Ovis aries: one gene and its partners. Each later gene encodes a partner of the first gene's protein in a complex. Links are inferred from orthologs where the notes say so. Each region holds a gene or a part of one and is shown on either strand. Other genes may lie near its edges. The genes, in order: TXNL4A, LSM7, USP39, SNRPD2, PQBP1, SART1 and LSM5.

What was found.
Region 2: TXNL4A (region 1) and LSM7 share a complex: the UniProt entries of both Homo sapiens proteins name them as parts of the precatalytic spliceosome. The link is inferred for Ovis aries from reciprocal best matches to the Homo sapiens genes TXNL4A and LSM7.
Region 3: TXNL4A (region 1) and USP39 share a complex: the UniProt entries of both Homo sapiens proteins name them as parts of the U4/U6-U5 tri-snRNP complex. The link is inferred for Ovis aries from reciprocal best matches to the Homo sapiens genes TXNL4A and USP39.
Region 4: TXNL4A (region 1) and SNRPD2 share a complex: the UniProt entries of both Homo sapiens proteins name them as parts of the U4/U6-U5 tri-snRNP complex. The link is inferred for Ovis aries from reciprocal best matches to the Homo sapiens genes TXNL4A and SNRPD2.
Region 5: the proteins of TXNL4A (region 1) and PQBP1 are in contact, whole or in part, in a crystal structure (PDB 4BWQ), measured with the Homo sapiens proteins. The link is inferred for Ovis aries from reciprocal best matches to the Homo sapiens genes TXNL4A and PQBP1. Residues at the interface, in NP_006692.1 of Homo sapiens: Gly11, Trp12, Val14, Asp15, Ile18, Asp68, Phe69, Met72, Tyr73, Glu74, Met82, Phe84, Asn87, His89, Met91, Gly97, Asn98, Asn99, Asn100, Lys101, Leu129; in NP_001027553.1 of Homo sapiens: Gln241, Gln242, Arg243, Pro244, Tyr245, Pro246, Ser247, Pro248, Gly249, Val251, Leu252, Ala254, Asn255.
Region 6: TXNL4A (region 1) and SART1 share a complex: the UniProt entries of both Homo sapiens proteins name them as parts of the U4/U6-U5 tri-snRNP complex. The link is inferred for Ovis aries from reciprocal best matches to the Homo sapiens genes TXNL4A and SART1.
Region 7: TXNL4A (region 1) and LSM5 share a complex: the UniProt entries of both Homo sapiens proteins name them as parts of the precatalytic spliceosome. The link is inferred for Ovis aries from reciprocal best matches to the Homo sapiens genes TXNL4A and LSM5.

What each region holds. Positions count from the first base shown.
Region 1 is NC_056076.1:701,172-705,441, forward strand, and holds the start of TXNL4A (thioredoxin-like protein 4A), read left to right. Parts: upstream 1-1,470; 5' UTR 1,471-1,549; intron 1,550-2,027; 5' UTR 2,028-2,042; coding exon 2,043-2,195; coding exon of another isoform or gene 2,196-2,274; intron 2,275-3,905; exon of another isoform or gene 3,906-3,966; intron 3,967-4,264; coding exon of another isoform or gene 4,265-4,270. UniProt on the Homo sapiens protein: Plays a role in pre-mRNA splicing as component of the U5 snRNP and U4/U6-U5 tri-snRNP complexes that are involved in spliceosome assembly, and as component of the precatalytic spliceosome (spliceosome B complex).
Region 2 is NC_056058.1:19,036,616-19,038,774, reverse strand, and holds the end of LSM7 (U6 snRNA-associated Sm-like protein LSm7), read right to left. Parts: coding exon 2,093-2,159; intron 743-2,092; coding exon 600-742; 3' UTR 501-599; downstream 1-500. UniProt on the Homo sapiens protein: Plays a role in pre-mRNA splicing as component of the U4/U6-U5 tri-snRNP complex that is involved in spliceosome assembly, and as component of the precatalytic spliceosome (spliceosome B complex).
Region 3 is NC_056056.1:57,493,290-57,496,513, reverse strand, and holds the end of USP39 (ubiquitin carboxyl-terminal hydrolase 39), read right to left. Parts: intron 2,023-3,224; coding exon 1,936-2,022; intron 986-1,935; coding exon 938-985; 3' UTR 501-937; downstream 1-500.
Region 4 is NC_056067.1:53,040,971-53,044,953, reverse strand, and holds the start of SNRPD2 (small nuclear ribonucleoprotein Sm D2), read left to right. Parts: upstream 1-1,183; 5' UTR 1,184-1,245; coding exon 1,246-1,247; intron 1,248-2,600; coding exon 2,601-2,780; intron 2,781-3,750; coding exon 3,751-3,925; 3' UTR 3,926-3,983. Other genes in the region: QPCTL (glutaminyl-peptide cyclotransferase-like protein), read right to left, coding at 220-429. UniProt on the Homo sapiens protein: Plays a role in pre-mRNA splicing as a core component of the spliceosomal U1, U2, U4 and U5 small nuclear ribonucleoproteins (snRNPs), the building blocks of the spliceosome.
Region 5 is NC_056080.1:56,175,740-56,179,983, reverse strand, and holds the start of PQBP1 (polyglutamine-binding protein 1), read left to right. Parts: upstream 1-1,444; 5' UTR 1,445-1,594; intron 1,595-1,756; exon of another isoform or gene 1,757-1,855; intron 1,856-1,969; exon of another isoform or gene 1,970-1,988; 5' UTR 1,989-2,006; coding exon 2,007-2,073; intron 2,074-3,450; exon of another isoform or gene 3,451-3,812; coding exon 3,813-3,924; exon of another isoform or gene 3,925-4,244. Other genes in the region: TIMM17B (mitochondrial import inner membrane translocase subunit Tim17-B), read right to left, coding at 255-354, 1,228-1,253. UniProt on the Homo sapiens protein: Intrinsically disordered protein that acts as a scaffold, and which is involved in different processes, such as pre-mRNA splicing, transcription regulation, innate immunity and neuron development.
Region 6 is NC_056074.1:40,495,673-40,499,605, forward strand, and holds the start of SART1 (U4/U6.U5 tri-snRNP-associated protein 1), read left to right. Parts: upstream 1-1,133; 5' UTR 1,134-1,187; coding exon 1,188-1,500; intron 1,501-3,524; coding exon 3,525-3,582; intron 3,583-3,933. Other genes in the region: TSGA10IP (testis-specific protein 10-interacting protein), read left to right, coding at 163-295. UniProt on the Homo sapiens protein: Plays a role in mRNA splicing as a component of the U4/U6-U5 tri-snRNP, one of the building blocks of the spliceosome. May also bind to DNA.
Region 7 is NC_056057.1:65,578,937-65,583,208, forward strand, and holds the start of LSM5 (U6 snRNA-associated Sm-like protein LSm5), read left to right. Parts: upstream 1-1,472; 5' UTR 1,473-1,492; coding exon 1,493-1,538; intron 1,539-2,599; coding exon 2,600-2,695; intron 2,696-2,976; coding exon 2,977-3,004; intron 3,005-3,607; coding exon 3,608-3,680; intron 3,681-4,272. UniProt on the Homo sapiens protein: Plays a role in pre-mRNA splicing as component of the U4/U6-U5 tri-snRNP complex that is involved in spliceosome assembly, and as component of the precatalytic spliceosome (spliceosome B complex).

The DNA of each region.
Region 1 (4,270 bases):
AGATAGCATATTGAAAAGCAGAGACATTACTTTGCCAACTAAGGTCTGTCTAGTCAAGGCTATGGTTTTCCAGTGGTCATGTATGGATGAGAGAGTTGGACTGTGAAGAAAGCTGAGCGCCAAAGAATTGATGCTTTTGAACTGTGGTGTTGGAGAAGACTCTTGAGATCCCTTGGACTGCAAGGAGATCCAACCAGTCCATTCTAAAGGAGATCAGCCCTGGGTGTTCTTTGGAAGGACTGATGGTAAAGCTGAAACTCCAGTACTTTGGCCACCTCGTGCGAAGAGTTGACTCATTGGAAAAGACTCTGATGCTGGGAAGCACTGGGAGCAGGAGGAAAAGGGGACGACAGAGGATGAGATGGCTGGATGGCATCACGGACTCAATGGACGTGAGTCTGAGTGAACTCCAGGAGATGGTGATGGACAGGGAGGCCTGGCGTGCTGTGATTCATGGGGTCGCAAAGAGTCGGACACAACTGAGCGACTGAACTGATACTATTTAAATTTTACGATAACAATATGACCAACCTAGACAGCATTTTAAAAAGCAGAGACATTACTTTGCCAACAAAGGTCAGTCTAGTCAAGGCTACAGTTTTTCCATTAGTCATGTATGGATGTGAGAGTTGGGCTATAAAGAAAGCTGAGCACTGAAGAATTGATGCTTTTGAACTGTGGTGTTGGAGAAGACTCTTGAGAGTCCCTTGGACTGCAAGGAGTTCCAACCAGTCCATCCTAAAGGAGATCAGTCCTGGGTGTTCATTGGAAGGACTGATGCTGAAGCTGAAACTCCAATACTTTGGCCAACTGATGCGGAGAGCTGACTCATTTGAAAAGACCCTGATGCTGGGAAAGACTGAGGGCAGGAGAAGGGGAAGACAGAGGATGAGATGGTTGGATGGCATCACCGACACAATAGTCATGGGTTTGGGTGGACTCCGGGAGTTGGTGATGGACAGGGAGGCCTGGCATGCTGCGGTTCATGGGGTCGCAGAGTCGGACACGACTGAGCAACTGAACAACAAAAAATGTTTAGAAATACTAATTTCAATAACTTATTTGGGGGGCATTTGCGTCTTACCAGTACTCTTCTGTTAATGAACCGCTTTTCACAAGTAAAGCAACTGTGCTTGCGTCTGGAAAGCAGGGCCTCCAAAATAATTAGGGGGCTCTGTGTGGGAGTGAACGGCGACGAGCCCTTCTTCAGAGAGGTTATCCTCTTCGTTCACTCCCTGGTCCCAGTCGCACCGAGGAAACTTGAACGCCGACTCACTGGAGACACAGTAGGTCTGAAGCAGCCGCCGCCTCTAAGACGCTCATGACACTAAACCCACCTTCAGCCCCAGTACCTGAGCGGAGTCCACGCCCCTGCCCGGCCCGGGCGCGCGCACGCACTGGCCGGCGCACACGCTCTGCGGGCGCGCGCACGCACTCGCCGGCGCTCACGCTCTGTGGGCGGGCGGGCTCACTCGCCGGCGCTCTCGGCCTGTGGGAGCGCTCCGCGCCCGGAAGGACTGCTGAGCGGGAGGGTCCGGTGTGGGCAGAGGTGGGTGCGCGGCTGGAGACGGTGGGAAGGGGGCGGCGAGTGATGCGCGGGTGTGCGATTCCAGGGGTCCCCTCGCCTTGGTTTCTTGGCCGGGGGACAGTGGCGTTCCTGTGGCGGGATCGGGGTCGGAACTTGGTAGACGCGGGCCTGGCCCTGCGGGCGGCGCATCGACTGCCCCTCGGGGTGAGCCCCCGTGAGCCGGGGGCTCCGTGGGCTCCGTGGTGAGGCTCCGTGGGCTCCGTGGTGAGGCTCCGTGGGGTGGGGCCCCCGTGGTGAGGCTCCGTGGGCTCCGTGGTGAGGCTCCGTGGGCTCCGTGGTGAGGCTCCGTGGGCTCGGTGGTGAGGCTCCGTGGGCTCCGTGGTGAGGCTCCGTGGGGTGGGGCCCCCGTGGTGAGGCTCCGTGGGGCGGGGGGTCCCGTGGGTGTGCCATGGGGGGGCTGGGAGGAACTGGCCGGTGATTTCCCTCCACTCCCCCGCAGACCCATTGGCTCAAGATGTCGTACATGCTCCCGCACCTGCACAATGGCTGGCAGGTTGATCAGGCCATCCTTTCGGAAGAAGACCGCGTGGTCGTCATTCGATTTGGGCACGACTGGGACCCTACCTGCATGAAGATGGATGAGGTTCTGTACAGCATTGCTGAAAAGGTAAAGCAGCCACACCTCCCGTCACGTCCTGCCGCCAGGTTTGGTGTTTGCATCCTGTCGGATTGCTGTTGTTTTGCCGGTAAGAATTAAAAGTACAGCCAGTTCACCGGTTAAAGAGAAGCAGTAGGATTCACAGAAGTACAGACATACCTTGGAGTATGAGGATGGGCTCCCTGAAATTGGTCAGAATAGCTTATATCCTTACTGGCAGAAGTTTCCATAGATTCTCAAATTTTTAAGAGGTTCATGATGTCTCTCCTTGAAGAAGTGATTCTTATTAATTTATAGCGGTTTTAACTCATAGGTGTTTTCAAAAATTTACATCTATAGTGCCAGGAGCAAAACACGTTTGCAGCATTTGGCTGAGTGTAGGAGCTTACTTTGAATGGCTTAGTTTAAAAAACTTGACTTTTTTTTGGTACCGTGTTTGTTTGTTGTATGTATTGAGCAGAACATCTATGGTAACAACATAGTAAATTCCCTTCTTTTTCTTTGAGTCCCTTCTTTACCCCAGGGTGCTCTTTGTAAGTGACTTGATTTATAGCTTAGAGTGATACCAGTGTAGGAAACACTGGGAAAAGGTAGAACTGTAATGTTAGAACTAGTTTTCCTAATCCTTAAATTTAGTACAGGGGGTTGTCTGTGGCCCTTTGCTGACAATAAAGAGCAATTGTAGGGTACTGTTGAGTAACTAGGGCTTAATTCTCTTTCTGTAATTGTCTCATGGGTATTTTAAGGTAAATTTGATTTAGATTTTTGCAACTGTAGTAATAGGGCAAGAGGCAAAAATATTAGGGTATTAATAAAAAGTTTAATATTCAATGTTAATTTGAGAGGTTATTCATTTTATTAAAGAGTATAAAAATAAGGGAAACATTGAAGCCATCATTTATTTCACAGGAGTAAGATATGCTAGTATGGGCTGGATTAAAATAACTCCTTTGAGTAAAGAGTAACAGGTGTAAGGATATAGTTTGTATTTAGGAATTGAAAAGTAGTCTGACCTGCCATCAGTAATTTTCACTGTCTCCTCTTTGGTAGGACAGGCAGAGTGAGGTAGGGGTGATGGCACTCTGAACATTAGGGACTATCTTTCTGTGTCTGTCACCGAAAGTGCATCTCAGAGAGTCTGATCCTGGAGATCTGAGATGAGATCCAGAAGCTCCCCCAGGAATTCTGAATCCCTTCAAGGAGATCCAAGTCAGAGCAGGAGTCTGTGGTGATAACCTTACCCTCCTCTTCCTCTTGGACAGAAAGGTGTTGAGGGAGCTTGAAGAGATGCCTGGGGAACTCAGGAGAGCAGGGTTCTTCCAATTGGGTCCTCCCTGTCAGGTCCGAGGTCAGGAGTGAGGTGGTGCCCAGAAGTCATTTCCCCATGACTTGAGCCACAGTGGTTAAGGGCAGAGACTGCAGAAGTCAGTGATGATGGATGAAGACCCTGTTTCAGTAAGTGAATCACTGCTGTGTGGACGCTGATGTAACTTAGGTGGGTGTTCTGGGTTCTGCCTTGCAGGTGACAAGTAAGCATCAGGGGATGTCCAGACCCGGTGGCCCTCAGCACGAGGCTAGAATGGCAGAGGCGTGAGGGTTGTTTGCTGTTCATATCTGAGCAAAACTCAGCAAGATACTCTTAGCTAGGAGACAGATTTTGTGTCAGTGTAAGTTTTTAGGGACTTTTACCAGAATTGTTCTTTTCTAATCCCTATGTAGCGGTCAGAGACCAGATTGCTATACTGCTAGCAGGTGGCTCTTTTTGGAATGGAACCTGTTGGTAAGAACAGTTTAATTGGGCTCACTTGGAGTATTTTTCTCTAGTCTTTTAAGTGATTCTTTTTCTTTTATCCCGATTTCTATTTTAATAAACTTCTAATACTATGTAATAGTATAGTCTTTAAAAATGCAAACTTGAAATGCGTTACACAAATGTTAATGTTCTATTTTCTGCTTAGTGTAAGGGCAGAATATGAGTTTATAATTTTGGAAGCCCTTTTTGGGGACGTTCAACAGGAATTTTTGAAATCTAAGGTTTTAGTATAAAGAACAATTTAACTGTCTATCTCCCTCTGCAGAAATGG
Region 2 (2,159 bases), on another chromosome or scaffold:
GGAACAAGGCCAGGAGAAAGCCCTGCTCCTGAGGACAGGGACTGGGGACGTTCATGATGATGGCCTGGGGTCGCCGGCTGAGGGGCAGGGGTGGGCTTGTCCTCTGAGATGAGCGGGGAAGAGGTTTAGATCACCTCTGGGGTCGTGGGCCAGGTGGACAGCAAGGCTCCATCTAGTCTGTTCTTTGTGGGGTCATGGCTGTGCTTTGTGGGGACATGACAGAGTGGACCCGGCTCTGCAGGACCCCTCGGGCCAGAGCATAAAGGCACTGAAAGGATAGGACCTGCCGCTGAGAAGGCTGGCTGGGGTGTGCACAGAGGCGGTGATCCCTGGGGGGGTCTCTGCAGAGGCAAAACCCATTCCCCCGCCTGCACTATGCATGCTTAGTCACCACCAAGTCCCCGGCCAGCGCTCAAGCTCTGCCAGATGAACCAAATCCCCAGGTCTGGGTTTTGCCAGAACACCAAAGCTGAAAGGAAGATTCCAGGGCTCCTGGACACTTGAGGTTTGCAATTTTATTAAGAAAACAAAATGTAAGTTATACAAAAAAGAGTTCCATTCGGACGGGTGGCCAAGTCAGGGGAGCAGTGGCCTGGCTGCTAGGCATCCTGCTGCTGGATGAAGGGGTTGGGGATGGCCTCCATGCCATCCTGCGGGCAGATGAGCACCACCGAAGTGCCCCTGCACACCACCAGGCCCAGCTGCCGCGTGTCCTCTGTGAGCTTGTACTGATCGTCGGGGTCTGTGGGAGAAGAGGGGCGGCAATGAGGCAGTGTGGGAAGGTGCCCAGAGATGTGCCTGGGTGGGAAGAAGTGGGGTGTGGGGGCTGGGGGGAGGGAAGGCAGGCCAAGCTCCCACCCCCCACCTCCGCTTCCCCCAGCCCATTGGCAGCTTCTCTGGAGATGGATGGAGAGGCTCAGGAAAAGCTCTGAAACAGCCCTGTGCAGCCTGCCCTCCTTCCACAATGAGAACACAGCCCTGGGGAGATGGACCGAGTGCTCAGAGGGGTGGTGGGAGAAGAAAAACCCATCTGCAGGATCTGGGAGTTCCTAGAGGGTCACCATTCACCCTCACACCAGCGGGCTGTTCCCAGTGGAGGGAAGTGACAGCGCACGGAGGCGAGCTTACTCTCAGAGATTACTGCGTGACGGGAGAGGCTGAGTTGGGGTGCCACTCCCCACTCCCAGGCCCTGCAGGACGACAGTTGTCCGAGCCTGCCCATTCCCTCCTGGAGCTGCCGGGATGGGTCTGGCTGGCTCTGGGCCTGGGGCTGTTCTTGGGTGAGGAGAGGGCAAAAAGTCGCTGGACCAGCAAGCCAGGACCCCATGTAAGTGCATGGCACACACCAGCTCATGTGGTTCTCCCAGCAGCCCCACGGGGGTGAGGCTGTCCTTTTTCAGAATGTCATCTGCCTGAGGAGGCTGGGCCAGGACCCCAGCAGCAGGACTCTGGGTAAACCCCGAGGGAAGAGAGAAAACAAGGGCAGGCAAAAGGCCCTACAGGGTTGCTCCTCCCACAAAGAGGGCCTCTGCCTGGTGGCTTCTGACACTTGTGTGTGGCCGCATTTACTCTGCACCAGAGTAATGTGTACTTCAACATCGACAGTCCCTGGAGGAGTGAGACCCCCTTCTCTCCTGAACCTGGGGGCTCCGTCGTGCAGCACTCAGGCTGAGCTGGTGGGTCTGGGGACTTGTGGAGACGGGGACAGGAAAGGAAGGGGAGGGGACCCTTTGTCAGCAGCAGGGAGTAGACAGATAGAGACAGCAGGAGAGAGGGGGCAGGATGAGGCCCCTGGAAGCCAGCTTTATTGTGGCAGGTGCAGCACCTTTCTAGCCCCACCAGGCAGACTTCAACTCCAGCAAGTGCTGAGGGTCGGTGACGAGTGAATCCGGAGAACACTCTACCCTTGAAGTCCTGAGGTGACAGTGTACTGAGCCCCACCAGGACAGTGGCAAAGCAAACACACTTGTCAGCAGTCTGACCCACTAGGCGCCACATTCACGGTGGCTCAGCATATGGGCGGCGGCCTAGGAACAGTAAAGAAGGCCTTACTGCTCGGAAGGATGCTTCCGAGCCCTGCAGCTGCACTCACCTCGCATGTACTCGATGGTGCCGTCCAGCACGAGGTTGAGCAGCGGGTCGAACCCTTTCAGGATTCC
Region 3 (3,224 bases), on another chromosome or scaffold:
AGTGAAGTAAGCCAGAAAGAAAAACACCAATACAGTATACTAACACATATATATGGAATTTAGGAAGATGGCAATGACGACCCTGTATGCAAGACAGGGAAAGAGACACAGATGTGTATAACGGACTTTTGGACTCAGAGGGAGAGGGAGAGGGTGGGATGATTTGGGAGAATGACATTCTAACATGTATACTATCATGTGAATTGAATCGCCAGTCTATGTCTGACGCAGGATGCAGCATGCTTGGGGCTGGTGCATGGGGATGACCCAGAAAGATGTTATGGGGAGGGGAGGTGGGAGGGGGGTCCATGTTTGGGAATGCATGTAAGAATTAAAGATTTTAAAATTTAAAAAAAATAAAAATAAAAAAAAAAAATAAAATAAAAGGCAGGAATAAAAAAAAAAAAAAAGAAAGATCATAGGGGAGACAGTTTGTGAGGACTCTTTTTAATCCCCCCATAGGCAGAAGCCCAAGGGAATGATATGAAACAAGAGGCTGGTTTAAAAACAGGAAAATATTTAATCCATCCCAAAACACATATCAAGAAATGAAGAGAGCCACAGGAAAATTACCTATGATGGAAGAAGGGTGTTACTGGCTTCAAGCTCTAATTCCCATAATCCTGAGGCTTTGATGCTTCAAAGAAACCCATCTAGTCCTTTAGTATTCCTGGCTATTCGGAAATAAATTACATACATCTGTAAAAGAGTTCTGGCCTGCTAGAAGGGAGCTAGCCAGGGAGAAGAAAGGGGCACCAATCTACTGCAAATGATCAAAGACCAGCTGAGTGACAGCACGGAGCCATCCGAGGCAGATGGACCACTGATGCTCTGGTGAGAACCAGAACACAGGGCTGGCTCAGGGGCTTGTGCCATCCACCTGTGCTCAGAACGACGTCAGCCAAAGCCCCTGGGAGCAAAGTTCTAAACACCTCCTTCATGCCCCCTGCTGGTTGGTTTCATCATTATCTCGCCTCTTCCAAATCTGTAAGAAATGAATACAATGGATACTTAGGAGCCTGTGTTCCATCCACAAATATTTATCATGCACCTAAATCTGTGCTAGGAAATGAGCAAACTATCATCCCAACTGTGTATTTGCTAAGTCCCCTAAAACTAACTCATAGTCTTTCAAAAAATTCCCTTTCATTTAATTTTCACTCTTCTATCCATCCTTCTCTTCCCATTCCAAACTCCTTTTCTGAAAAAGGACCAACAGTCAGGCCTGCAACTTCAGACAAAGAGTTCTCCTTGGAACAAGCAGTATCTCTCTCCTTTTTTTATAAAGCTGTGGCCTTCTCTTAGCCTCAGTCTTCCTTCTCTGCAGGGACTAGGACCGTTAGAAAGAGAAGACAGGGGGACTTCCTTGCAGGTCCAGTGGTTAAGACTCTGTACTTCCACTGCAGAGGGCATGGGTTCGATGCCTAGTTAGGGAAATAAGATCCCATATGCTGCACGGTGTGGCCATAAAGTAAAAATTTTTTAAAAAAGAAGAAAGAGAAGATAGAGGCCCTCAGTTCCATGAACTCCCAACACAGTGGAGAGGACAGTTAAAACATGTAGCTGCTGTTCCACAGACATGGGACAGTGCTGTGGGGTCACAAAGAGTGCTGACTTTGCCTAGGGAACTGGGGAGAGCTTCAGAGATGACTCCAGATGATTCTGAGCTCTTCCTCCTTGAAATCAGACCACATATTTGAAAAACTGACCTGGCTGACCACACACAGAGAGAACCACCTTGCTCACTCATAACTCGTCCATGCTTTCCTGTCCTCCTCTTCACTGAAGATCACTCCTGGCCCCGCCTCACTCCCCACTACATGTCAAAAGGCACCCAAGCTAACTCAGTCCCACGCCCTGCCTTCACCCTCAACACTTCTCTCACCAGCCCCCACACCCCATCACCTCCACGCTCATCGAGTGAAGCCAACCCACCTGAATGTAAGCCTCCGACAGTGTGATCATCTGGGGAAGGATGTCGGTCACCTGGAGGTCCTGTAATTCATACCATTTGCCTGTCCCCTGCAAGGAGTATGAAGGGCTAGGTCAGTTTGCTCCCGGAAACCAATAGAGTTTTAGAGGTAAAGAGATGCAGCCAAAAGCTAGAAAAGTCAGAACAGTCACTAGACCATCACCCAGCAAGAGTTCTAAGAAAGAAAGTATAAGGCCTCTGCTGGGCATCATTCAATGTCAAGAGCTTTTAGGGTGTTGATCTTGACAAACAAGTCCTGCTGAGGACTCCTTAAAGCACAGTGGAGTCTCAAACACTGTTCGTCTTTTAGGAAGAGACTAGGAGGATAACACAGAGAAAGAAGAGGAAGCCCCTACTCCTCACCTGAGATGCCTGGATTATGGCAGAGATACTTCTGGAAGCTCATCTGCCTCATCCATCCAAACTTTCAAGAAATGCCAAAGACAAATATATTCCGGTTATTCTGGATATTCCAGTAGCTCAAATAGGATACACAACAAAAGCTCAGGATCCCATAATGAAAATCCCTATTCCTGGTGCGAGGACTGGTTAATAAGAATACAGTGAAACCTAGTATCCAGGTTCCAATGTCAACTCTTCTAACTTCAGATCAGTTATTCCAACTCTAAGCTAGGTTCCTCACTTGTAAAAAGATGGTATTAACACCTGTCTTGGAAGTGTGTTTAGGGATATAAACAAGATGAACATACATGAAGTATGTGGCGTACTATCTAGCACATGGCCAAGTGCTTGACAGATAGAAGCTGGTTATCATTAAACCCAGATTCTCAGAAGACTCATCAAGTTAGAACAATTTGTGCCAGTAATCTGTATGATACCAAATACATCCTAAGCACGTTTCCCCCATTTTCAGCAAATTCACAAAATTTTTTTTAGCTGAAAGGGAACCTCTCTACCAGTGCTTTGTAAACTTTAATTTCATACCCTTCAGAGGGTCTTGTTAATCAGTAGACTGTGATTCAGGAGGTATGTGAGGGGTCTGAGATTCTACGATTTCTAACAAGTTCTCATATGATGTCAATGCTGTGAATCCAAGGCACTTTTGGTGGCAGGTGCTAGTCTAGGACAGTGCTTCTCAATCTGGCTACATACTGGAAATCTGAGAATTTTAAAACTATCAAGATGCCTGGGTCTCACCTCCAGATAATCTAATCAAGTCTTAACTCCAACATTTTGGACCAGAAAACTCTTTGCTGCCTGTGGGGGCTGCCTGTGCATTGGAAGATATTCA
Region 4 (3,983 bases), on another chromosome or scaffold:
TCTTACGGGGTAACCGCTATTACAAAACAAGCCCGAAGCCTCATTGCATTGGAAAGGGGTATGCGCTCTAAGAACGGAGACGGCGGCACCTGCAGCTAGGGCCATAAGGTAAAGACAAAGCCAGGTTAACCCAACCTAGGGTCTTCCCCATGAGACCGTGGGGAAGGGGAGGCAAGGAGTAAGGGCTTCCGCAGTGCCCATGTCCCCGCCCGTCCTCACCCGCAGTTCCCGGCCCAGCGGCAGCTCTTCAGTCTGGCTATGCCAGCTGCTCCAAATGGTATAGAACACCAAGGCTACTGTCAGAGCCAGCAGCAGCTGGGGCAACAGCTGTGCCCGCGGTATCAGGCGCCGCTTGGGCGGTGAGGGTCGCTCCAAAAGGCTGCGTTCCCCGACCGGGAGTCGGGGCCGCCCGCGGCCCCCGGAACGCATGGCAGCTTGGCCCTGAAACCGGTCGGAGACGGCGGATAGAGTTAAGGCCGAGCCAAGTCCCGCCCCATGAAATAAGCCAGACCAATGAACAACAAGAGCGGCTGCACCATCCGCCCCCCCCACGAGCAGTAAAGCAAATGGGACTTTCGGCCTGAGGACGCGGCTCCTTGTCTTCAGGGAGCTTTGGGGGTTGGTTCCCCCGGGTTGCACAACCCAAAAGGGAGAGCGTAAGAAGTAGGCGCCGCCTCAGCGCAGGAGGGGAAGCCAATGAGAAGCGTTTGATCACCGAAAACACTAGCCTTACTGGGCGCAAATCCACGCCGCTCCCGGATGGACCCTCTCCCCGGTCCAGAAAAACCAATATACACGTAAATCAACAGTTTCCGAAGGAAAGGGGAGGTGCCCATCCCTGAAGCGAGGAGGGGATTGGCTTCGCCAAGGCCGCGCCCCCAAAGGCAGAGCGGGCGGGCATTTGGAAATGGCTAGTATTCCCCTCTTTCAACCTATGCGGTTCTGCAACAAAATGGTTTTAATCAGTCCCGCCTTCTTTTCCTCTCCATGGTCGTGAATATCTGCCCAGCACTGTCTTGAATGGTGGCCTGGAGCTACTTACTAAGTAAGGCTTCTACTCGGCAGCCTCCGCCGAGGGCGGAGATCGCTATAGCAACGGGCCACGCCCCACTCGCTGGTTGGGTATGCGCAGGCGCGCGCGGAAGTGGGCCGTAGGAAGAGGAAGTCCCGCCTCTGGCTCTCTGTTCGGGAGGCACACCACGGAGGAGACGGTAGTGGCTTGAAAACGCGGTCACCATCATCATCATGTGAGGCCGGGCTGGGTTTGGGTGGCGGCAGTGGGATTGAGGGTGTAAGTTTGGCCACTTACCGGTTGAAGTGGGTAGGCAGAAGTGGGCGCGGAAGCAAACATTTGGGGGTAAAGTGGCGTATCTTTCTACTGATGAGTTGCGAGGGGACGTGGGGCCTTTGAAGGATCCTGACTTCGGGAGCGGGGACAGCTTTATCAGATAACAGGCTGGGCTTTCCCAAATAAGCAATCTTATTGAAGTGAAGTTTAAGAGGAAGCGTTTTTACGAATTAAAAACCTGGGAGATGAGGAGTACGGACTTGTAGGAAAAGCGGTCTTAAGGTAAGAGGCGTAGCTGGAGACAATTGGCTTTTCGATCACATCCGCCATTGGTATGGATAACGAGTTATGGGGATGATTTTACTTATGTAGTCACTCAACAGTTATTTATTGAGTTGTTTGTGTATTAGGCTGCTTTAGACGCATAGCTTATATCACTGAATTACTCCACTCTCCCCAAGGGAAAAAAAATCCTCTTCTACATCTTACGGGATGGGAAGAGGCAGGCAGGAAACGTGCTGGTAATAAATCCGTAAATTCTAGAATGTGTTAGGGAATAGGGTTTTGAATAAAGAAATAACAGAGCAGGGTAAAACAGCGTGGAATGTCTCTTGTGAGAGACAGAACGCATGAAGGAGGCAACACTTGAGCAAAAACCTGAAGAAAGTGAGAAAGCAAACTGCAAAGGTACCTGGGGACGTACCTAGGCAGAGGGAAAAGTGAATAGAGGGGCCCAAGAAGGTTTGCCTGATAGCTTCAAGAACCACTGAAGAGGCCATTGTGCCTGGAACAGAGTGAGGGTAAAAGCTGGGCTTTACTGTTTACACTGAGAGGGTACTCAAGAGTGAGATGATTCTTGACACCACCCTTGAGACTGCTCTGTGGAGGGCGAACTGTTGGGGAGCGTGGGTGGAGGCAAGGAGACCTAGGAAAGATGATGGAGGTTTAAGCCAAGGTAAGAAATTCAGATTCTGATAGGTTTTAGTGGCAGATGGCAGGATTTGCTGACAGATTGAATGTAGGATGTGAGAGAAGAAAGAGTCAAGTTGCTCAAAGAACCAGAGGGATGGAGTCACCACTGACAGAGATGAGGAAGGCTGTGGATAGTATTAAGTTGGGGTTATGGGGGGTCTGGAGTTCAGTCTAGGTCATGCGAGGATTGGAAATATCCATTAGGCATCCAAGTGGTGATAGCAAGAGAGAGGACTGAGTACGAAGAGAGGGATATGTGTCGGGGAGACACCAAGGGAGAGGCCATGAGCACCCAGGCTATGGGCCTGCTCACCTCTGGGTTCCATACTTGTCTTTTCAGGAGTCTCCTCAACAAGCCCAAGAGTGAGATGACCCCAGAGGAGCTGCAGAAGCGGGAGGAGGAGGAGTTTAACACGGGGCCGCTCTCCGTGCTCACGCAGTCAGTCAAAAACAACACTCAAGTGCTCATCAACTGCCGTAACAACAAGAAGCTCCTGGGCCGCGTGAAGGCCTTCGACAGGTGAGCACCAGGGTCTGGGGAGGTATGCTGTCCGGGCCTCAGTTTCCTTACCTGTGAAATATGCGTCATAATAATATCCCTCAGAACAGTAATGAGGCTTCAGTAATACTATGTATGAAAAGCACTTGGCTCAGTACCTAACACATGATAAATGCTCAGTAAACACATGCAGCCTTTAGTTAGCATTTGGGAAGTGCTTTCCTCACCGTAGATTACTATATAGCAAGATACAGAGCTTTCCCAATTTTTTTCTTTTCTTTCTTTCACTCAGTCATAGTTCCCTGTATCCTCCTATTCCTTTGTGTGTGTGCATGAGGGCTAAGTCACTTTGGTTGTGTCTGAATCTGTGCAGCCCTATGGACTGTGGCCCACCAGGCTTCTCTGTCTATGGGATTCTCCAGACAAGACTACTGGAATGGGTTGCCATGCTCTCCTCCAGGGGATCCTCCCAACCCAGGGATTGAATTTGCATCTCTTATGTCTCCTGCATTAGCAGGCAAGTTCTTTACCGCTAGAGCCACCTGGGAAGCCCCCCATCCCTTTACCTTGCGTTAGTTTTTCTTCATAGCACTTACTACCACCTGACAGTATATTACAGGTGTGTTTGTTTACCTGCTTCGTGTTCTCCCTTCACTAGCCTGCAGAGCCCATGAAGACAGGGCTCTTACCTGGTTTTTTTTTCATTGCTCTAATCATTGTAAACGTTTGTTGACCGAGCTATTCCACACTGTCATCACACATGCCCATAAGAAAAATAGTGTGTTGATTCACTTAATTTTCACAACAGCCATAGGAGGCAGGCACCATGAATGTCTCCATTTTAGAGACGAGGAAACTGAGGCGCAGAAGGTGAAGTCCTTTGCCCGAGCCTCGGAGCCCTGGCTCTCCCCCTTCCCAGAGGCAGTGCCGCCCAGAGGAAGGGTCAGGACACACCCCTCACTCAGTCCTGCTGCCTCCCCGTCCCCACCAGGCACTGCAACATGGTGCTGGAGAATGTGAAGGAAATGTGGACGGAGGTCCCCAAGAGCGGCAAGGGCAAGAAGAAGTCCAAGCCAGTCAACAAGGACCGCTACATCTCCAAGATGTTCCTGCGCGGGGACTCTGTCATCGTGGTCCTGAGGAACCCGCTCATCGCTGGCAAGTAGGGCCTCCTCCCTGCTGTCAGAACTTTCCCCCTGGTTTTGCGAAGACCTGCCCTCTGTA
Region 5 (4,244 bases), on another chromosome or scaffold:
CACAATTAGGTTTTGGTTTTATGACCCTTTTGACAGCACAGCATTTCTGAGGAGCTCCAGCAGGGTGAGGGTCAGAGGTCATGTTTGCAGTTCCCCCAAACTCCCAGATCCTGGAGCTAGGCCTGCCACACAGTAGGTAAGCAGACACCAGAATGAATAAGTGCACGTGACTGGCAGTTCCAAGCAGTTTCAGAACAGTATCCCATGTGGTCAGGGCAGGACCTCAGCAGCACCCAGGGAAGGCTAGGACTCACGACAGGGGCATTACGGAAGCCCTTAATGGCCTGGAAGACTCCACCGCCGATAACACCCATAGTGAAGGCTCCACCGCAATCATCCACAATTCGCCATGGGCTGCAAGCGGGAAGGGGAGGATGAGGTTAATGTGAGCGCTCCCTCATGCCAAGTCACAAGATCTCTTTCCAACTGGGAGCAATACGTCACCCAAATGAGAACTAGCACTTCAGATAATACTGGGATTATTTCTCCCCTCATTTAAGCAAAAAATAATGTGAAGAGGGGAAAACATCAGTCTTGGCCCTGTCCGCCCCTCCCCTTCACAGCCAACCAGGGAATCAACCAACTGGTTGACTACTGTCAAAGATTAAATGAATTAATGAGAGGGCATTAATTAAAGAATTGGCACGTTTGAATTACGCTACAGGTGTTGCAGGCACTGTTCCTTAAGCAGAATGGGGTAGCACCCCTTTTTCCGATAATGAGCACGTCCAACAAAGCCACGTCCTCTTCCCTTTTCACCCTCGCACAACTGGGGAAAATCAAGCACATAGAGTGCGGAGGACCCATCACCCCTCCATGACCACAATCATGGTCAGGCTCATCCAGGCCCCGCCAGCATTAACCAAAGCGACCTGGGAAAAACCATGCGTTTTTCCAGGGGATACCCGCTCAACACCGCACCACCCCCTGGCTGGAATGGATTCGACCAGCGTGTCTTTAACAGAGGGGCTGGGAGGTACGGAATCAAGGAAAACGTGGAGTGGTCCGTCCTGCACCAAACCTTCTTCTGCAGGCACACAATTGTGGCCCCTTTTAACGGAGCCCGAGTAAGAGAAACCAAGTGGAGAGGAGCAGAAGACAACAAAAATCTAAATGTGTTCCGAGTCTGGGACGTGGCGCTGTGTGGCCCGTGCCTCCCCCACCCGCCTCCCACCGCTGGCCGTGGCGCCGCAGCAACAGTCCCGACACCTATGCCCCTCGCTGTACCAAGGTTCCCGAGCATACTCCTCCATGGCGCCGGCGTCCGGCCGCGCAGTATCGCTAAACCCTGGCCGGGCCACACCTCCACTGGAAACGTATACAAGCGCCCGAGCTTTCCACCTATCCCAGGGCAACGGTTCTGTTGTTTCGCCAGACTTCAGATCAAAGCGCATTCTCATTGGCTAGGTAGGTTTGCGTCATCTTTTCACTGCGTGAGCGTCGTGCAGTTACGTCTAAGCTCGGGGAGAGAGAAACTCATTCTGTGCTTTGGGAGAAGAGAGTCGTGTGGTCCTGGCGCTCATAGAGACGACGAGAGAGAGGTGGCCAGTTGGAAAGTCGTCCACTACTTGCGTGACTGTATTGGTAATTTGGGGTGGGTGCATTTTTTGGAGCTGGAGGAGGTGTTACACTGTGCTCCCCCATCCCAACGCTTTGGTTCCTCCCACCCAGCAGTCTTTGGGGGACGTTGGGTGAAACCATTTTGGGTAGTGGGGGAGCCGCGCATGGCCCCTTGGGCTGGGCGGAGCCTGGGCCTAGGACGGGAACCCGGTGCTGCAGCCACTGGCCTGGGAGAGCGGAGTTGGTGAGAGTGTTGGTGATATTGCTGTTTACAACCCCTTCCACCTTTCAGCGGGTAGGGTCTATTTCCCTCCTAGTGTAGATGGGGGTCCAGATTGAGTACATGCTGCGGGGAGGCCCTTGGTTACTCTTGTAACCAGATTCAGTCCTCATCTGAGCTGTTTTTCAGGCTGTCTGTCCTTCCGTAGGCCTGTCTGCCATCCGCTATGCCGCTGCCTGTTGCGTTGCAGACCCGCTTGGCCAAGAGAGGCATCCTCAAACATTTGGAGCCTGGTGAGAGAACTAAGAGAAGAGAGGCCTACCATGTGCCCGACTTGACAGGCACTTTGTTGCGGATACTGCCGCTTGATATCTAGCATGGGCCTATTGTGCACCAAGCAGTGGGGTGGCAGGCATTTCCTTGTTAACAATACGTGTTGAAAGTGAAAGAAAGTGAAAGTGAAGTCGCTCGGTCGTGTCCGACTCTTTGCGACCCCGTGGACTGTAGCCTACGAGGCTCCTCCGTCCATGGAATTCTCCAGGCAAGAATACTTGGACGGGAGTGGGTTGCCATTTCCTTCTCCAGGGGAATCTTCCCTACCCAGGGATCGAACCCGGGTCTCCCGCATTGCGGGCAGATGCTTTAACCTCTGAGCTACCAGGGATTCCCAACAATACGTGTTACTGACCCCTATTCCTGTCCTATGAGGAGGAGGGGAGGTGGGGTATGGAATAGACATTTCGTCCTTAACACTGACAGTTGATGTGTATTTTGGGGTCTTCTGTAGCCAAAGTTTAACCCATCAGTTAATTCCTGGAAGTATAATAAGGATAGTAATAGTAAGCTGACACCTATGGCAGCCTCCTGTCGGCCAAGTATAGTCGCAGGGTGCTGATACTTTGTTCTGTAACATACTAGTAGATAACATTATTTCAGACCTGCTGTGGAACTAGGCACTGTGTGAGTTGTCCATACCTTATTGTTCACCATGTCAATAGCTGACATGTATTTTGAGTCTTCTTAAGTGCTTATCATACACTGTGGTTAACAGTATATAAAGTAATGATAGGATCTATCATTTAGGCCTACTGTGCTGCTGTTGCTAGTATTTATACCTTATTTATCAATAATAGTAAAAGCTGGCATCTATTTTGGGCTAAGGTGTGCCAGGTACTAGAAAACTCATCTTATTTTCACTTTATTGATAAGTGACACCTATTACAAGCCTGTTGTATGCCAAAGATCTTTGGTTATTAATAATATTGATAATGATACTGATATGGTATTTATTTTAAGGCTGTTTGCTACCAGGCCCTGTACTAACTGTATGTATCTTACTAACAATATTAATGATTGTAGCTGACATCTATTTGGGGCCTATTGTGTGACAGGCACTATGCTGTTGCTGACATATACATTTAATTGTTAACTATATCCATGGGTGAAATCTGTGATAGGACTACTGAGGTCCAAGTACTCATACACCTTTCTTTATTCTGTTGATAGTAACTGACAACTATTGCAGGCATCAGGAACTGAACAGATTCAGAGAAGTGTTTGGATAAATCCCTTGCTGTCCAAACTTGCTAGTCAATATATAGGAGTCAGAAACCCCATATTTGCCAGCCGTGGAAGCTGAATAGATTTGGACATATTTTTAGGTAAACCCCTTGCTGTTGAAACTCATTTTATTCAAATTTGCATAATACAGTGTCACATACTATTTGAACTCAGAAGCTGAATAAATATGGATACTTTTTAAAAAAAATGTATCCCTGTCTAAAGTATGAAACCAGATAAGTTTGGGTAGTAGTACCCGTAAACAGATTTGAGTAAATTTTTTTGGTAAATCCTGATATTCAGATACTTGGATTTGGAACATGAGCAGTATTTGCTCTGGCATGTGAGACCTGGCATGCACACACACACACACAGTCCACGTGAATGTGAGTGTGTCTCTCCAGGCCCTGATTGCAGGATGGGAATCTCCCTGGTTCTTACTGCTGTCCTCTTCCCTTCCTTGTCCTGCCAGAACCAGAGGAAGAGATCATTGCTGAGGACTATGATGACGATCCTGTGGACTATGAGGCTACCCGGTTGGAGGGCCTGCCACCAAGCTGGTACAAGGTGTTTGACCCTTCCTGGTGAGCCTGACGACATGCGGGTGGGGAGGGAGAGCTAACTTCTGACTTCACCCTTCCTGTGAAGGGTTCAGTTCAGTTCAGTCACTCAGTCATGTCCGACTCTTTGTGACCCCATGAATCACAGCACACCAGGCCTCCCTGTCCATCACCAACTCCCAGAGTTCACTCAAACTGATGTCCATCGAGTCAGTGATGCCATCCAGCCATCTCATCCTCTGTCGTCCCCTTCTCCTCCTGCCCCCAATCCCTCCCAGCATCAGAGTCCTTTTCAATGAGTCAACACTTTGCATGAGATGGCCAAAGTATTAGGGTTTCAGCTT
Region 6 (3,933 bases), on another chromosome or scaffold:
CCCCAAATCCAGACCAAGAGTTGAGTCCCTGAGATAAAAATTAAATGCTTTGTGGAAAACACGGTGTGGGATTTCTGGCGGTGGTGGGAAGTGGCTGTGGGTTGGGAGCAGGCCGTGGCAGGTGGGTATGCAGCACGCTTGGCTTGTGCTCACATCCCCCAGGAACCCTGGCTGTTGCGACGGCCCCCGCCCAGCACACACGGCTGTGTCTCTGCCCAGAGGAGCGAGTGGGGCATCTCCCAAGAGCAACAGCTGCAACTCCTACCAATGCTGGGTCCTGGAAATTCAAGAGTGAACAGGACAGAATGCCTTCCGCCTTTGGGAACGCCCAGTCCTGTGGGGGAGGGGGCGGGCCTTTAAAAGGGCGCATAATCACACCCTAACAGATGGGCTGGCAGATCGAGCAACTGGCAAGTGGGGGTGTCAGGAGGAATTGTGTGAACTGAGCTTTTAACTACAAGTTAACAGTCTCCTCAAAGGAAAAGAAAAAGAAAAGCTCACACACACACGGATGTGCCAAATTTTGCATTCGATTTCAGGGGGTTTACAGATACACAGAAGCTCAACTCGACCTCCGGGGCAGTCGCAGAGCTCAGGTTAAAAACCCAATCCAAGGAGCGTGGCAAGGCAGCGTTGGCAGACAATACTAGATGTAGGGGTTGGAAGGAAGCTGGACTGTGGAGCTGGGGGCCTCGGGAGAACATGCTACGTCGTTTAACACCCGATGGAGCCACGACCCCAGGCAGTACACTAGGAGGACGCCACTGGAGAGGTGGACCCTGCCCAGAGACAGTCCGTGAGCCAGTGAACATCCGTAATTGAGGGTGTGAAAGCGGAGGGAAGCCGGGAAGGGGCTTCCAGCTCTGGCGATCCTGGCTTGGATGGTCCCTAGGTCCCATTCTGGGATACTGTCTTCCCCAGACCCAGTGGCGAACCTTGAGGCGCGCATGCGCAGTCGGCCCCCCGGCTCAAAGACCGCTACCCCGGCTAGGCTGGCTGCGACTGCGCAGTCGGGTTCAGATCCCGGCCTTCCCATGAGCCTTTGGGGCAGGCTCCGAGGCAAACGACGGAAGCAGCCGCTCTTGGTTTCCGGCAACAGGACACCGGCTGTCGGGCGACCCGGAAGTGTTCCCATTTTGCGTCGTCGGGGCTCGGCGGCGGCCGGGCTCGGGGTTAGACAGACCACCATGGGGTCGTCAAAGAAGCACCGCGGGGAAAAGGAGGCGGCAGGAACTACAGCAGCGGCCAGCACCGGGGGCGCTACCGAACAGCCGCCTAGGCACCGGGAGCACAAAAAACACAAGCATCGGAGCAGCGGCGGCGGCAGTAGCGGCGGCGAACGACGGAAGCGAAGCCGAGAGCGTGGGAGCGAGCGCGGGAGCGGGCGGCGCGGGGCCGAAAATGAGGCTCGCAGCAGCACGCACGGGCGGGAGCGCAGCCAGACAGAGCCCTCCGAGCGGCGCGTGAAACGGGAGAAGCGGGATGATGGCTACGAGGCCGGTGAGGGGCCTGTGCAGGGGGCGGGGCGACCGGAGGTGCCTCGGGTATGTGGGCTCTGGGTATGGAGGCCGAGCGCACCAGGCCGAGGCATCCTCTGGCTTTTTCGTCAGCACTTTCTAAAGGGTCTTCCTATGGCTATTTGGGACTGAAGGTTGTCTTTCTTTGTTAAACTCTCTGAGGGTAGAGATTTTCTTTGTTTTCCTCACGACCCCTCCCTGAATGTGTTGAATGAATGAAGCGATGGTAGCATGTGCAGAGGCAAGAACAAACATGTTGTCAAAGTTGTGTAGAGTTCATAGGAGAGACAGCAGTCTGTAAGAGAGACACGGATCTGAACACTAAGGGCCATATAGGCCCTGTTAAGAAAGTGAAACTTGTTTTGAGAGGAAGCCATGAATTTGAACTGACGAGTGAGTTGATCACATTCATATTTTGCAAAGATCTGGGAGAAGGGCAGTAGAGACTGGAGGTGAGATGAAGGCTGATGGTGGCCTGCACCGAGGCATTAGCCATGGGATGGAGAGACGTGGACAGATTGGAGAGGTGTTTTGGAGGAGGAGGTGATGGAGCTTAGCATTTGGATGAGGGCTGGAAAGAGAAGAAGGAATTGAGGGTGTGCCTTGAATTTTGACTTGAGCAACTAGTTGAGTGGTAGTGATCTCTGCTGATGTTATCCTGGTGGTTCAGTGGTAAAGAATCTGCCTGCAGTGCAGAAGACAAAAGAGACAAGGGTTCTATCCCTGGGTTGAGACGATCCCCTGGAGGAGGGCATGGCATCCCACTCCAGTATTCTTGCCTGGAGAATCCCATAGACAGAGGAGCCTGGAGAGCTATAGTCCACAGGGTGGCAAAGATTTGGACACAACTGAAGTGACCGAAGCACACATGCACAGTGCTGTCGACTAATTTCAGGAGTTTGGAAGAGAAACAGATTTTTGGAGGGAGACAACCGAATTCCGTTTTGGAGAGTGTTGAATTTTATGTGCATGGAGAAACTCAGGGCTTGGGCTGGATAGAGCAGTTTGGGAATCATGAGTGTTTAGGTGGCATATGAAGTCCACTGAGAGACTAGGAGTAGGAAGCCTACTGGTAGGAGAACCTGATAAATGCTAGTGTCTTAGTATTACGCTGAGCAGGAGGCTACGAAAAAAGGAGGTAGGCTGTCCCCCAAAGCAGGAAAACCATAGAATCTCGTGTCAGGGGATCTGTGGGAGTGATCATCTGTGTCACACACTGCTGGAGACCAGATGAAAACCAGAGCTGAAAAGAATCCTTGGGGTTTTGAAATAAGGAGGCTGGTGATCTTGGAGAGAGCCTGGAGTGGTTGGGATTCAGAGTTCAAGTGGGATAAGGTACAGAGGTAGGTTGTGAGGCGAACATGCTGGAACGATGAGCTGTGGTGGCGCCTGGTAGGGGCAGCTCCGTCTGAGTCCGAATCTGACTTCTGCATGTGGTGTTCAGTGAAGTCACTTGCTGTTTGTGAGGTGAGTAGAGGATGTCCTAAATGCTCCTGTATCTCAGTGATCTCAGCAACATTACAGAAGAGGCTCCAATAAGTATATTTCTTCACTGCATGAATTACACAGAGGGCATAGTTATGCTGCCAAGATGGTCCCTACCCTGTGAGGAGAAGCAGGTCCAGAAATGACTGTGGCAGTGTTGTGCAGAGGAGAGCAGGTCATGCTGATCAGTAATGGAGCAGGACTCCAGGGAGGAAGTGGGGTCTGATAGGATTTTGTTAACAGCCTGAGGCCAGAGAAGGCAGTGTAGGTTGAAAGCACAGGATACGCAAAAGTGGAGAGGTGGCGAAGTGAAGGATGTAGAAAGCTGGACCCTTTGGATCAGGAAAGGAAGGTGTGGGGAGAAGCAGCGTTCTCAGAGCCTGGGACTCGGATGGAAGGAGCTCCTGGTTGGGGGGAAGCAGGCCGAGGTGCTGACCTCGTCTTCGGCCCTGCACCTGGAGCCAGGGCTGCGGCTCCTGGGCCCAGTGCTCTGCCCCTGAGCCTTGCTGCTTCTTGTTCCAGCTGCCAGCTCCAAAACTAGCTCAGGCGATGCCTCGTCACTCAGCATTGAGGAGACCAAGTAAGTCCTGTCTCCTTTTCATTTCTGTGTTTTCTTGTGGGACAAGCAGCTTCTGGGGTAGCTGTCTGGGGAGGCTTTCGCGTAGTACATGTTCTGATTGAAGTTGGAAGTGTCATGTAAATCATCCTAGCCAACCAGCTGAGTTCCCGAAGTGGACTCTGAGGCCCAGGAGAGCATGGCCTTGCCCTGGCTAGGGGGCAGGCCAGGCCTTCCGGCTGATTGGGAGGCCGGTGCTCTTCCCACTGCTGGGTCAGGCCCTAGGTTTGAGACCCTTCGGACCACTCAGTCCCTTCCTGTTTTCTCCCCCTCTTTGTCCAGAAATGCATTTGGTGCCCCCATTTCTTGGACAGC
Region 7 (4,272 bases), on another chromosome or scaffold:
AATAAAAACACCTCTTCCTGCAATCCCCATTAACTACTGTGTAAACAATTGTATCTCCGTTTTCAGAGTATAAGACCTCCTTTATTCTTCATCAATAGTGCTGAATGTTAATTTGGTTTCTGTAATGGAAAGCAAGATATTGACTTAAAGCTTATTTTCTTGAATTTTAAACTCTATCAGGTAGCAACAATACCTTGAATTTGGTTCCTATTCACATTATGGTATGGTGAAAATGAAACAAGAATAGATATAGGAAAACAAATTTTTTTGGCATTACTTTGTCTTGCCAAAGAATGATGTGACGATTGACTAAGATCCCTGAAGTTAAAAGAGCACTTTTTGCTTTACATATTAAATTCCACGTGCTTTGTACATAATGCTTGCTAGTTGTCTTTCTCCCCCATTTATCCTTTAGCTCCTATAAGGGCAGAAGACGTTGTAGTTCTGTTCTTTACGCTGGTTATACTGAGCAAAATGCCAATGTTCAACTAAAGTATTTGTTCGATGAATGAATGATTGGTGCTTTGCAGCCATTGTGTGAATGAATGATGTCCTTCCTGGCCTTTCCTGCTTAAACTCTTTAGCTTTAAGCTCCTCAGATATAAACATAAAATAGACCAACGCAAAAAATTTGTTCGCTTTTTCTTTTCAAAACAGATGCGTAAAAGCAGCAAGGCTTCCTAAATGTGATGTTATTAACATAGAATGACATCTGGTGGTTGCCTGTTGGACTGTGGAAGAAATAGTGTATACAAAATGTATAGCAGACTCCTAGATATTACAAGATTAAAAAGGACAGTTCAGTTCTGTCACTGTTTTGTCCGACTCTTTGCGACCCCATGGACTGCAGCACACCAGGCTTCCCTGTCCATCACCAACTCCTGATAGTAGAAGATAGAAAACAATAGAAATGGAAAAAATTGAAAAAGTAGAATAGAAAAATAGAAAAAGAAAACGATAGTAGAAAATAGAAAACATACTTAAAATTTCCCCCTCGCCCAACAAACTTTATTAAAAATGCTAGTTGTGGGTTTTCAAATCATCAAACTTTTAAAAGAAGCGGTAGATTTTTTTTTTTAACGAAAATTGCAACACAATGAATCGGTGGCGGGAAAATCAAATTTATTGATTCTGGTCGAAGAAAGATCCTGGGTTGATATGAGACACACCTCGATAAGGGGAAATAAGACAGCACAAAGGCTTCCGTTTCGCAGGCTTCCGGATTAGAGAAATAACTTATTTATAAGACCGGAGATCTCTAAAGTCTCTTGGAAGTTTGGAGAGGCGAGTTATCTGTGGAGAACCTAGAACGCTCAGTGAACAGAAACACTTTCTAGAATCTCCCTGCAGGATAAAGAAGTGGCTGGATCTCCTCAATCGCACTCTCGGCCTCAGATTGGTCGAGCCTGCCTGGGCCGGAAAAAAGCGGAAGCGCGCTCTTTCAAACTCGCCGTTCCGACGTCGATAGAGGCAGGCCACTTCCGGCGTAGCCATGGCGGCTAACGCTACCACTAACCCGTCGCAGCTGCTTCCTCTAGGTAATCTTTGTCCTGTTGGGGAGCCGGGGCGGGGAGTTGAAAGTTAGGGTTGGGGCCGAAGAGCAAGGCAGTCCCTGACCGAGTGTTAGAAAAACGTAGCTTTCTCTGCAGCTCTCCTTTAGGCTCCAAGTCTCGGCGGCCTGAGGCCGCACAAGTCTCTCTGGCGTGGGGGAGTCTTCTTGAGGCAGGGGTTTTTGACTCCCCAAACCTTCACCGGAAAGGTTCAGTCTTGGTGAATGTGTCGTTGACCTTCTTTGTTGGGTGCTCGCCTTTATAATAGTAAGAGGCCCATTCCGCAACCGGGCTTTTAAACTACCCGGGTTATATCCTGTCTGGCTGGTTTCTGAGTGAGGCACTTGGGTCTGGAATGAGCCTTTAAAGAGGCCTCTGAAAACTAGCTCTTGTTACTCATTTATTCAGCAAGCAGTTACCGCGCCATCTGTGCACTAGACACTGTGATTGGGCACTGTTCAACAAATTTAAATCACGGCCATTACCTTCAGATAGCATACAAACCAGTGTAGGAAACAGGATACAGGGCAGACATAGACTTAATGACAAGGAGGAATCTCTGGTGAAGACAGTTCTGCCTTTTTTTTCCCCTTAATATTTTATATTTGAAGGGTTATCGGGTTAGTGGATGTGGCAGTTATTGTAAAGGTTTTTTTCCATCCTGGAACAAATTCTTCTGAATGACCAGTACATTTCAGGCATTGTCCACTGGGGATACACTGATGAGTAAAAACCACCTCTCAGCTCTCTTTCAGCTTAGAGTCAAGAGGGGCGTTCATATGTTAATCAGATAACTAAAATAGTATTAAACTACAACCATGATAAATTGCTACAAAGGAGGGTTAAATGAATAACAGGGAGGGAAAACTGTCCTTTTAATAGAATGACTGAACAGAGATATGTAACATAAGGTCTAAAGTTTTGGAGTGAATACTTTTCCTGGCTTATCTTTTCACCATATGCATGTAACAAGTGTCAGTAGGCATTCAAATATTTGTTAATGTTATGAATGGGCAAACTAATCTTCTCTCTCCCGCCCTTATCTGCAGAGCTTGTGGACAAGTGTATAGGATCAAGAATTCACATTGTGATGAAGAGTGATAAAGAGATTGTTGGCACACTTCTGGGATTTGATGACTTTGTCAGTATCCTTTTAAAAGGTGGTTGTATGGATTTTTCTTCAGATTTTTAAAAAAGAACTATAGACTATCAGTACTTACCGATTATTATAATAAAGTTTAATTTATTTTTTTGGAAATTGTGATAGTGTTTTAAGGGATTGTGGTACTGAAAGATGAAGTTCCTACCAATTGCACGCAGCTTGCATTTGAGCCATTGTATTCAATGTTATAATTAAAACTGAACAAAGAAATAAGCCAGAGTAAATTTAATTTGGTATGTTTATTTTCTTAACACCAAATTTCAGATATGGTATTGGAAGATGTCACTGAATTGTGAGTAGTGTTAAAAATTAAAGAATGGGTAGGGGGAATCTCTGTTTGATTTAAGGCAGTTTTAGTGCTGTTGAGTCAGTAAAAGGATGTAGGAGAGCACACTGCCTGTTTGAATTACTCTAAAGAGAGAAAGTTTACCTACTGATGTTAGTAAAATTGGATTGGAGGATTATTACCATAATTTAATTGTCACTAATTGCTAGGAAGTTAGTGGAGACAAAGGTTTAAGGTAAAAGATACTAAAAGCAGCCAGGGATCTTAGCGCTCAGATCAAATAAAGGAACTTATAATAAAAACATTTAATGTTTTAAATTAGTTACTCTAAAACTTATGTGTATATATATATATATAAACATTTTATTTCATATTTGATCTCCTTGGTAAGTTTCAGTTTTTTAGATGAAGATCTGCACTAGTGGATGTGGGTCTTAGGCCAGTCAGTCCACTCTCTTGCCTTTGGAGAATTGACATCACCATGGGGATAACCTTGTCTCTGGAAAGTGTACAGTTCATTTATATATAGTAACTAACCTTTTGGTGGATCAGAATGTTGGCTTTGATTATCACTCTTTATCCTGACTTTTTGAAAATCTTTTTGTTTAGTGAAATCACACCAGAAGGAAGAAGAATTACTAAATTAGATCAAATTTTGCTAAATGGAAATAATATAACAATGGTAAGACAGTGAAGGTCTTTTATTTAGATGTTAAGCCATCTTTGTGGGGCAGGGATTACAGAACTGACTTGATTGACTCAATGTTCTTGGCCCAGTGGTGCTTAGGGTGGGAAGGGAATGCTCTGCTGATCAGGATTCTGTGGCCAAACTGTTGAAGATGACATTAGGCCTAAGATTAGTTTGTTTATACCTTTTATCTTATGTATTTTTAAAATATTTATTTATTTTTTTATTTGGCTGCATTGGGTCTTAGTTGCATCACAGAAGATCTTTACTTAGTTGCAACATGTGGGATCCAGTTCCTTGACCAAGGATCAAACCTGGGCCCGCTGCATTGGGAGCATGGAGTCTTAATCATTGCACCACCAGTGAAGTCCCTGCTTGTGCTTTTTAATCATTTATTTTACCAAGAATTAACTGTTGAAACATTAAATCACTAAGTATTAATTGATACTGTTGGAATTGTAAACAGAGGTGACATGGGGAAAATGGGAATATGAGGGAGAGGCAAAGGCTGATCAATGACCAGTCAGTGAGCTCTCAGTAGGGGTTTTTAGATCATGTGGTACTAAGTTTTAAACTTTTTCCTCCT